Linked DNA regions of Caenorhabditis elegans. The protein of the gene in region 1 purifies or fractionates together with the protein of each later gene. This does not show direct contact. Each region holds a gene or a part of one and is shown in the gene's direction. Other genes may lie near its edges.

Evidence for each region.
Region 2: the proteins of snx-14 (region 1) and cysl-3 fractionate together in Caenorhabditis elegans (co-fractionation; one large-scale study listed by BioGRID). This does not show direct contact.

Annotation. Positions count from the first base shown.
Region 1 is NC_003280.10:13,527,984-13,533,291, reverse strand, and holds the start of snx-14 (Sorting nexin-12), read left to right. Parts: upstream 1-2,073; 5' UTR 2,074-2,096; coding exon 2,097-2,197; intron 2,198-2,259; coding exon 2,260-2,607; intron 2,608-3,741; coding exon 3,742-4,264; intron 4,265-4,940; coding exon 4,941-5,156; intron 5,157-5,214; coding exon 5,215-5,308.
Region 2 is NC_003283.11:3,773,916-3,778,235, reverse strand, and holds cysl-3 (Cysteine synthase 3), read left to right. Parts: upstream 1-2,099; 5' UTR 2,100-2,102; coding exon 2,103-2,202; intron 2,203-2,247; coding exon 2,248-2,419; intron 2,420-2,477; coding exon 2,478-2,881; intron 2,882-3,255; coding exon 3,256-3,490; intron 3,491-3,536; coding exon 3,537-3,639; 3' UTR 3,640-3,700; downstream 3,701-4,320. Other genes in the region: R08F11.1 (Non-lysosomal glucosylceramidase), read left to right, coding at 223-408; rips-1 (Methyltransferase domain-containing protein), read right to left, coding at 3,802-4,107, 4,155-4,320. UniProt on the Caenorhabditis elegans protein: Primarily catalyzes the formation of cysteine and acetate from O-acetylserine and hydrogen sulfide.

The DNA of each region.
Region 1 (5,308 bases):
CAAAAAAATTGCTAAAAAATGTAATATTATAAAACATTTTTAAAAAATTGCAATTAAAATTTTTTTCCAATTTTTTCGGCATTTTTTTTACGAAAATAAATTTCTATACATATTGAAAAAGTTCAAAAATTTCGACAAAATTAATTTTTCTGATTTTATGTTCGAAATCATTAAAAATTGAAAAAGGGCAATTTTTTAGTGTTTGTAGATCAATTTTGAGTCGTCTAACTACAAAATTAACCAGAATAATTTATACACTTTTTTTTTTGTTTTTGGTTTTTTTTTTAATATTTGTTCCGCTAGAATTGTTTTTTTTTTTGCTTTTTTTTGTTGATTTCGATTTCTCGCACAATACACTTGTTTTGAATTTTTTTTTGTTAATATTTTGAATTTTTTCAATTTTATGCGTAGATTTTCGCATATACTATTTATTTTCAGAAAAAAGTTTTTTTTTAGGATTTTACAATTTTTTTAGGACAAAACAATTCGCAAAAATTAAAAAAAAAGATTTTGCCAAATTTTTACGCTATGTCAGCTTTAAAAAAATAATTTGAATATTAAATTCTAAAAAAAAAAAATTTTTTTTATAAATTTTTGTAAATTTTCGCATATATATTTACTATTTATTTTTTTCAGAAAAAAAAGTTTTTTTTTTTGATTTTTCAATTTTTCAGACAAAAAAAATTAATTTCACTTGGTGCTAGGCTGTCCTATTACGGTTTGATCTACAAAAAAATGCGGGAATTTTTTGCCCAAAAATAGGTGACGTCAGCACGCTCTTAACCATACGAAATCAGTTGAGAACTCTGCGTCTCGACTCCCGCATTTTTTGTAGAGATCTACGTAGATCAAACCAAAATGAGACACTCTGACACCACATGAAATTTCCGAAAATTTGAAGAAAAAATTTTTTAAATAGTTTTTTGCCAAATTTTGACGCTATGTAAGCTTTTAAAAAATAATTTGAATATTAAATTCCAAAAAAAAAATTTTTTTTTTCGATTTTTTAAAGGATTAAAAACTACATTTTTTTACGGAACTAAAAAATATATTTATAAAAAAATTTGTATATTTTCAAAAAAGTGCCAAAAAATTTTTAATTAAATTAAGTTTTCGAAAAAAAATTTTTTCTGAAAATGTTCGAAACCATTAGAAATTAAAAAGCGGCATTTTTTAAGGGTTTGGAGATGAGGGTTGAGTCCTCTAACTATAAAATTGGCCATTTTAGAGCCGTTTCAAAACTGTGATTTTTTGCCATAAATTGTCATTTTTGCCACTTTTTAATAATTTTTGATGGGTTAAACCTAGATTTTCTGAATTCAGCATTCATGAATTACACGTTTTCAACAAATTTAGACAACTTTTTATTTTTGCCCAATTTTTCAGGCTGTCCTTTTTTTTGGGTAAAAAAAAATATATTTTTTTCTGAAAATTTTTGAAACCATTAAAAATTGAAAAAGGGCAATTTTTTAGGGTTCGGAGATCAATTTTGAGGCCTCTAACTACAAAATTAACCAATTAAAAAGATCGAAAATTTTCAACAAAAAAAAATCCAAAAACAAATTGGAAAATGAATTCCAATTTTTGAATTTCCAATTTTTTTTTGTACAATTTCAAAAAAAGTGCCAAAAAACTATTTTTTAATTTTAAAAATTAAAAAATTTGGTTTTTTTTCTGCCAAAACTCCCTCTTTTTTCTAAATGTCAAAAAACTTTTTTTTTGAAAAAAAAAAACACTAAACCTGATGTGAAAAATTCCGATTTTTGAAGTTTTTTTTCCGAAAAAAAGGAAGTTTTTTTTGTAAATTTTCTAAAAAAATTTAAATTTTTAGCGAAATTATTCAGCCAAAATTTCAAAAAAAAAATGCGACTTTTTTTTCGATAATTTCAGTTTTTCCCTTTATTCGGCATGTTTTTCGAAGAAAAAAAAACTCAAAAAAAATTCACAAAAGTTCGAAATAATTCAGCCAAAATTTCAAAAATTTCAAAAATTTCTAAGAAATTGGAAAAAGTTCGAATAAATCACATTTGAAGTGAGAAAAATTCAAATTTCTGAATTTCCAATTTTTTGCAGATGCAACAACAACACAACTCATTATGATGAACATGTCCGATCCGAAACAACAACAACAACAAAAGATCCACGTGGGCGCCGCCGTGGTTCTTCTCACGGCGATCTTCTACGCGGCCGACTTTGGGTGAGAAGAGGAAATTCTCGGCCACCGACCGACAGACTTTTCACAAAAAAATCAATATTTAGATTCGTATCGATTCTCGTCGTAATCGGCTCACTGCTCGCCGGAATTCTCTTCGCAAAATGGGTATTCGAGTGTTCGAACGGAGAGATGCTATACCAATGGAAGGACTACTTCAATCCGTCTGCCACCACGTCATCAAGGAAGCCAGAAGCCGAAGAAGCTGACGACGACGATGATGATGCCAGGCTGGATTCGGAGAAGACCCGACGGATGCCTTGGCAGGGCCTCAGCCTACCGGCTTCACTGAACGAGGCCGTCGAAAATTTGCTGAACGAGATTGTCGAGCAATATGTGAATGGGTGGTATGGAGGGGCGATTAGCAGGGATCGAGCTTTTATTAACGAGATACGGTAGGTGTAGTTTGTAGTTTGTAGTTTGTAGTATGCGTAGTTTGTAGCTGTGTTATCATAAAAATGGTCGTACGGGTGCACAAATAAATTGTATTTTCTGAATTTATCAAGGATCTAGTTTTGTTCAGAACGTAGTCCGCATTTTGTAGTTTGTAGTATTCGTAGTTTGTAGTTTATAATTTGTAGTATTCGTAGTTTGTAGTTGTGTTATCATAAAAATGGTCGTACTGGTGCACAAATAAATTTTAGATGTGAACTTGTTAGGGATCTAGTTTTATTCAGAACGTAGTTCGCATGTTCTAGTTTGTAGTATTCGTAGTTTGCAGTTTTGTTATCAAAATGAAAGTTGTGCTCGTGCGTGTCAACTTGTCAAGTATCTAGTTTTCTTCAGAACTTAGTTCGAATTTTGCAGTTTATAGTTTGTAGTATTCGTAGTTTATAGTTTGTAGTTTGTAGTATTCGTAGTTTGTAGTATGTAGTTTGTAGTATTCGTAGTTTGTAGTTGTGTTATTCTAATACTCGTGCGTAAATCAATTTTAGTTGTGACCTTGTTGAGGATGTAGTTCGCATTTTGTAGTTTGTAGTTTGTAGTTTGTAGTTTGCAGTTTGTAGTTTGCAGTTTGTAGTTTGTAGTATGCGTAGTATGTCGATCTTGGTATCATTTATTGATGTGATTGTATTTAATAATATATACATTTTCTGTTACGCAATATTTATAAATGTGATTTGAAGTTTGTAGTTTGTAGTCCAAACCTTGTAACTTGTAGTTTGTTGTCCGTACCTTGTAGTTTGTAGTTTATAGTCCGAAGTCACTGCTACTAAATTGTATACTTGTGCGCTAATACAATTTAGTGATGTATGTGAATCATATAGTTTGTAGTTTTTCACGTGGTGTCAGAGTGTCTCATTTCGGCTTGATCTACGTAGATCTACAAAAAACGCGGGAGAAGATCTTCTCGAGACGCAGAGTTCTCAACTGATTTTGCATAGTTAAGAACGTGCTGACGTCACATTTTTTTGGGCAAAAATTCTCGCATTTTTTCGTAGATCAAACCGTGTTTTTAATTCGTACCCTCTAGCTTGTAGTTTATAGTTTGTAGTTCTCCAAAATCAACAAAAGAATTCAAATTCCAGGTACCAACTCCGCTACGCATCGGCCAACCTCATCCGGTGCATCCGACGCGTCGATCTCGCCGAATTCGTCTCCGATCAAGCTCTCCCCATAGCCTCATTCTACATAACCCGTATCAATGAGCTCGAGCAGAAGCTTCGCGAGTCTCCGACACCACCCCGATCCCTGCTCGAAACTAAGATCGCCGAGCAGCTAGACGACATCCACGTGGCGTTGAGCGGCCGTGATGAGGAGACGGCCTATGTCAGGCAGATTTCGGATTTTCTGATTCCGAGGCTTCTCGACGAGACTCGGCTCGCCGGGCGGGCTCACGATGATGATAGTCCTCTACGACTTTTTGGACGGGGGAAGAATGAACGGCCGTGGCCGTCGAAATCGGTGCGGGGCTTTTTGAGGGAAATGCTGACGAATGCGGTGCTCCTGCCGGTTTTTGATATGCTCACGCAGCCGGATACGATCAATTATTGGCTGATTCTGTTGTTTGATGAACATCGTAAAGTGGAGATGATCGAGGAACATGTGGATGTAAGGATGCTTTAGGTCCCTAAAAAATCAGGTCGATTTACGACGTAGTGTGTGGATTTACGACGTTGTGTGTCGATTTACGCGGGCTGTCGTTTGTCGATTTACGACGTTGTATGCCGATTTACGACGTTGTGTGTCAATTTACGATAGCGTCTGTCGATTTACGCTGTTGTCTAGCAATGTCTTCTGTCGATTTACCCAGTCGTATGTCGATTTACGCATACTGTCGTTTGTCGATTTACGCTGTTTCCTAACAATGTCTCCTGTCGATTTACGCTGTCGTTTGCCGATTTACGACATTGTATGTCGATTTACGCTGCTTGTCGTTTGTCGATTTACGATAGCGTCTGTCGATTGACGCTGGCTGTCGTTTGTCGATTCACGACGTTGTGTGTCGATTTACGATGGCTTTTGTCGATTTACGACACGGAGTGTTGATTTACAACGTGCTGTGTCGATTTACGCCGTCGTTTATTTATTTGCGCTGTCGTTTGTCGATTTACGCTGTTGTGTGTAGATTTACGACGTTGTGTGTCGATTTACGATGTCTTTTGTCGATTTACGCTGGTTGTCGTTTGTCGATTTACGACATCATCACGCTCCTAGTTTTGGAGTTTAATAGGCGGCAGCTCAAAACTAGTTTTCCTGTCGAGACCCAAGAAATTCTCATTTTCAGACAACTCCCATTCCCCTCTTAAAGGGTCTTACCGATGAATCCGGCGCCTCCGACAATCTCCCCGACTCACTTCTCCAGCTGAAACTCACCGAAATTCTCCGCGACGCCCGTCTCTATGCGATCTTTCGAATGTACCTCCAGGACATTCGCGGACCGGTTCATGAACTGCAATTCCTTGTGGAAGCCACACGGATCTTGGATAGTATTCAGAGAAAAGTAGGATTTGGGGGAAGCGGATCTGTCAAAAATTCAAAAAATTATTTAAAATTTGCAGCTAGAATCCGATAGTCAAATCGCGTACGACATCTGGCAGCTTTACGGGCAATTTGTGCATGAAAGTGCTCAGGAGCGAGTCCGAATTGCGGAGA
Region 2 (4,320 bases), on another chromosome or scaffold:
GATCAAACCGTAATGGGACACCACGTGACGACCTATCGATAAATAAACTATTTTAATTCGTTTTGAAAATCTCGCCCGTAAATCGACATGCTACAGTAATCATTTAAAGAATTACTGTAGTTATCGCTACGAGATATTTTGCGCGTCAAATATGTTGCGCATTACGCAGTCTCAGAAACGTAATAAACCACATTTTACGCGCAAATCGAACAAATTTTCCAGGGCATGGATGAGCAAGCATTCAAAACTTCTGAAGGGCTCTTCGAATCCATTTGGCACCGCTTTCCACTTCAGTATCAGACTCCAGAAGCCATCACCTCCGACGGAATGTACAGAGCCTTGGGCTACATGCGCCCTTTGTCAATTTGGGCGATTCAACACGCGCTGGACAGGCGTTACAGGGAATAAAATGAATAGCTGCACAATTTTTGTATTTACCGTATTTCTTCTATTAGTATGGCCTCCCTATTAGACTTGCACTCCCTATTAGTATTGCTCCTTGAACACCCTCCGAAAATTAGTATTGCACTCCCTATGAGTGTTGCACTCCCTAATAGTCTTGCATCTACTTTTTTTTTGGTACAAACCCACCCTACTAATTTTGAGATTTGAACAACATTTTTTGCCTACTTTGCAACAATTTTGGTAAAATTTCTATGAAATTGAAGTTATTGTACCTTTTTGTTGCAATTACAATCAAATTTTCTGAATTTTCACATAAGATTCGAGTTTTTTCTGGAAAAAAACTAGTAAGCTCAAAGTCAGAAAATGTTCTGAACATTAGTATTGCACTCCCTAATAGTCTTGCACTCCCTATTAGTATTGCAAGCGGGAAGACCATCGAAAAATAGTATTGCAGCCATATTAATAGAAGAAATACGGTATACGCTTTTTTTATTTGTAAATTTCAAGTCAACCAATAAATCCATCTTTTAAAAAAATAAAAAAGCACATGTCCTGTAATTCGCACTTTTCGCTGAACCACTTGCCAAAAAGGGATGTTTACTTTTGGTGACCATCAGTTAACGCGTACAAAAATCAGAAAAGTCACGTTCACCGCGAGAGACATGTGCAAGGAGTGGAGACTCAGACATAGAGCAATCGAGCGGAAAGTAGGCGCATAAATTTTCGATGATAAATCGACATGGACAAGGCGGAGTGTGATGATTGTGGGGTTATAAATGGTTTCATTTTACACCGAATTCTTGCAGTCTTTCGATTTTTCTTCCATCGTATTTTGTGGTTTCCGCAAATTCTTAGCCGACTTTTTGGCAAATTTCGGCCAAGTTTCAATTTTGCCCAACTTTTGTAAACTTTTACGAACAGTATTTCTAAACTTGCTAGAGTTGATTGAAAAGTTAGTTTAAATTGCCGGATTGCCGATGTGCCGGAACTTTTAGTTTCCAGCAATTTGCCGATATGCCGTTGTCGAACATTAATTTGCCGGAAGTTTTTAGATGGATTTTTTATAGGACGGATACATTTAAAACTGTGCCTTTTCGAATTTTTCCCGTTTTCTTTGGATATTTTCATATAATATTCTTACTTTCAAAATAGATATATTATCGAAAAAATACAATCGCACATTTTTCTCATAATTTATTTTTGATCTACCTTGTTTACTAGGCTCCGCCCCCCTAAAGTAATTTTTACTTGCAATATTTTAGACACAAAAAGTCTGAAACTTCGGTCGAAATTATTAGAAATCGAAAACTAATATTTCTGAAAAGTGAACATTTCAACAAAAAATTTTTTAACTTGAATAAAGCTGTAGTGTTATGCTGTCCCATCAGTGTTTGATCTAAAATAAAAGCGGGAATTTTCGCTGAGAAATAAATCTGCGTCAGGTAACATTCAGAGATCAAAAAGTCTTTATCTATATTTTGATCTATTTGGGCTTCCTGCAGGTGAATAGTGACCTACAGTCTTCCCGCTTGCATCTCCTCCCTTCCTATGTTGTTGTGAGGCAGAGTCAGTTGACGTCTTGTATTTACTTTTCTTCGTCAATAAACCATCTTTTTAAAAATAAAAATTTAAATTTTCTAATCTCTTTTTTTCATATTTCTGCTGTTTGAAACTTCAATTTTTTGTATTTTCAGAAAATGTCTCGTGAATTGATGGTTCAGGATAGTGGGGACACTATCGGAAATACTCCATTGGTGCTTCTCCGAAATATTTCCAAAGGCTTGGATGCCAGAATCGGTAACAATATTTTATGAAATTTCGCTGAAAATTTGTAAATTTCAGCTGTCAAAGTGGAATATCTGAATCCATCGTGCTCTGTCAAGGATCGAATTGCCAAGTCAATGGTGGACGAAGCCGAGAAAGCTGGAACAATTGTGCCCGGAAAAACGGTTCTCGTTGAGGGAACCAGTGGAAATTTGGGCATCGCTTTGGCTCATATTGGAAAGATTCGAGGGTTTGACAACTGACTTTACAGCGGAAAAAAAATTAAAACTTTAATAAGATATTTTTAGATACAAGGTGATTCTCGTGATGCCAGCCACCATGAGCGTTGAGCGTCGTGCCATGCTCCGAGCCTACGGAGCCGAGGTGATCCTGTCCGATCCAGCTGAAGGACATCCGGGAGTTATTAAGAAAGTGGAGATGCTTGTCGATAAGCTTCCAAATGCTCATTGCCTTGATCAATTCTCGAATCCCGCCAATCCAGCCGCTCATTATCGTACCACTGGGCCAGAAATTTGGAGGCAAACCGAAGGAAAAGTTGATATTGTGTGCTTTGGTGTAGGATCGAGTGGAACTGTGACAGGAGTCGGAAGATACCTCCGCGAGCAGAATCCGAATATTGAGATCTACCCGGTTGAGCCATACGAGAGTTCAGTCTTGAGTGGGCTGCCAAGAGGGCCACACAAAATTCAAGGTTTGATTTACATTCACGGGTTTTCATAGTCCCATGGTGAACATCTGTCGCACGTGGTGTTAGAGTGTCTCAGTTTAGCATGATCTACATAGATCTACAAAACATGCGGGAGAAGAGACGCAGAGTTCTCAACTGAATGTCGTATGGTTAAGAACGTGCTGACGTCACATATTTTTGAGCAAAAAATTCCCGCATTTTTTGTAGATCAAACCGTAATGAGACAGCCTGGCACTACGTGTAAGAATGATTAAAAGTCACGGCTGCGGTCGAGGTTCAGAACCATCTCGCTGAAACTCTGCCAGTTCATAATATGAGGGAGTCTGAAAGTGCTAACATTTCGTTATCACTCATTTCTTATCATTATAAACTTCTAGGAATCGGTGCCGGCATTGTGCCAGGAAACGTCGATCGCTCGTTGTTCACGGAAATTTTGCGCATCAAGTCTGACGATGCGATGCAAATGGCGCGGCGACTCGCCGACGAGGAGGCAATTCTCGGTGGAATCTCGTCCGGAGCCAACGTCGTCGCTGCCGTGGAGCTGGCTAGTCGCCCCGAGAACAAGGGAAAATTGATTGTGACCACTGTGAACAGCTTTGCAGAGAGATACTTGTGAGTTTATAGTGTAGTTTTTTTTAATCGAAACTTAAATTTTCAGCACCACGGAGCTGTACTCGGATGTGCTCAATGAAGTTTCACAATTGACTTTTTCAAGTGACGATGAGGCGATGGGAATTGCGAAGAAATATTTGGGTCTCTAAATGTATTTAACTGACATAAGATTGAGAATTTTTGGAAATTTAAAATAAATTGTATTCCCCAGCCAGCCATGAAAGAGTTTAATTATTTCAAACAAAAATTAAACAAAATTAATTTAGTAGGTCTTGTGCGGACTTAAAATATTAAAAGGCTTCAATAGTACCCTAATTTTTCTGGGCACAATACATCACATTAATAGGGAAATATGGGGTATCAATAACCTTCACATCAGGGAATCCGCATTTTTTAAGCAGGTCGGTAGCACGTTTCTGCCCCCACATTGCACCATAACACAGAGCATCTGGGCAGTTACTTCCGACAGGGAGACAATGGAACATGGAGCACCCGTACATCATTGCAGCCAATGGGCCCATGGCGGCTTTATCGGTGTATACGTTACTGGAGCCGAGCACCTCTACCATAGCGAACATCCCGCTTGGCTTGAGAACTCGGTGGATTTCTTGGACGCACTGAAAATTATAAAATATCTTTTTAGAAAATTTAAGATTTTCAGTACCAAATCTGGTCTCCGCTGATCGTGGCATGCATCAAAAATAAGCACCAAATCGAAGGAGTCCGTCCAGATTTCTGGCATTTTTCCGGCGTCACATTCAATAAATTCGAGATTGTTGAAAGCCGCTCCTGATTTAGTCTTGCGTTGTTTCGCCTGCCGGATGGCATCT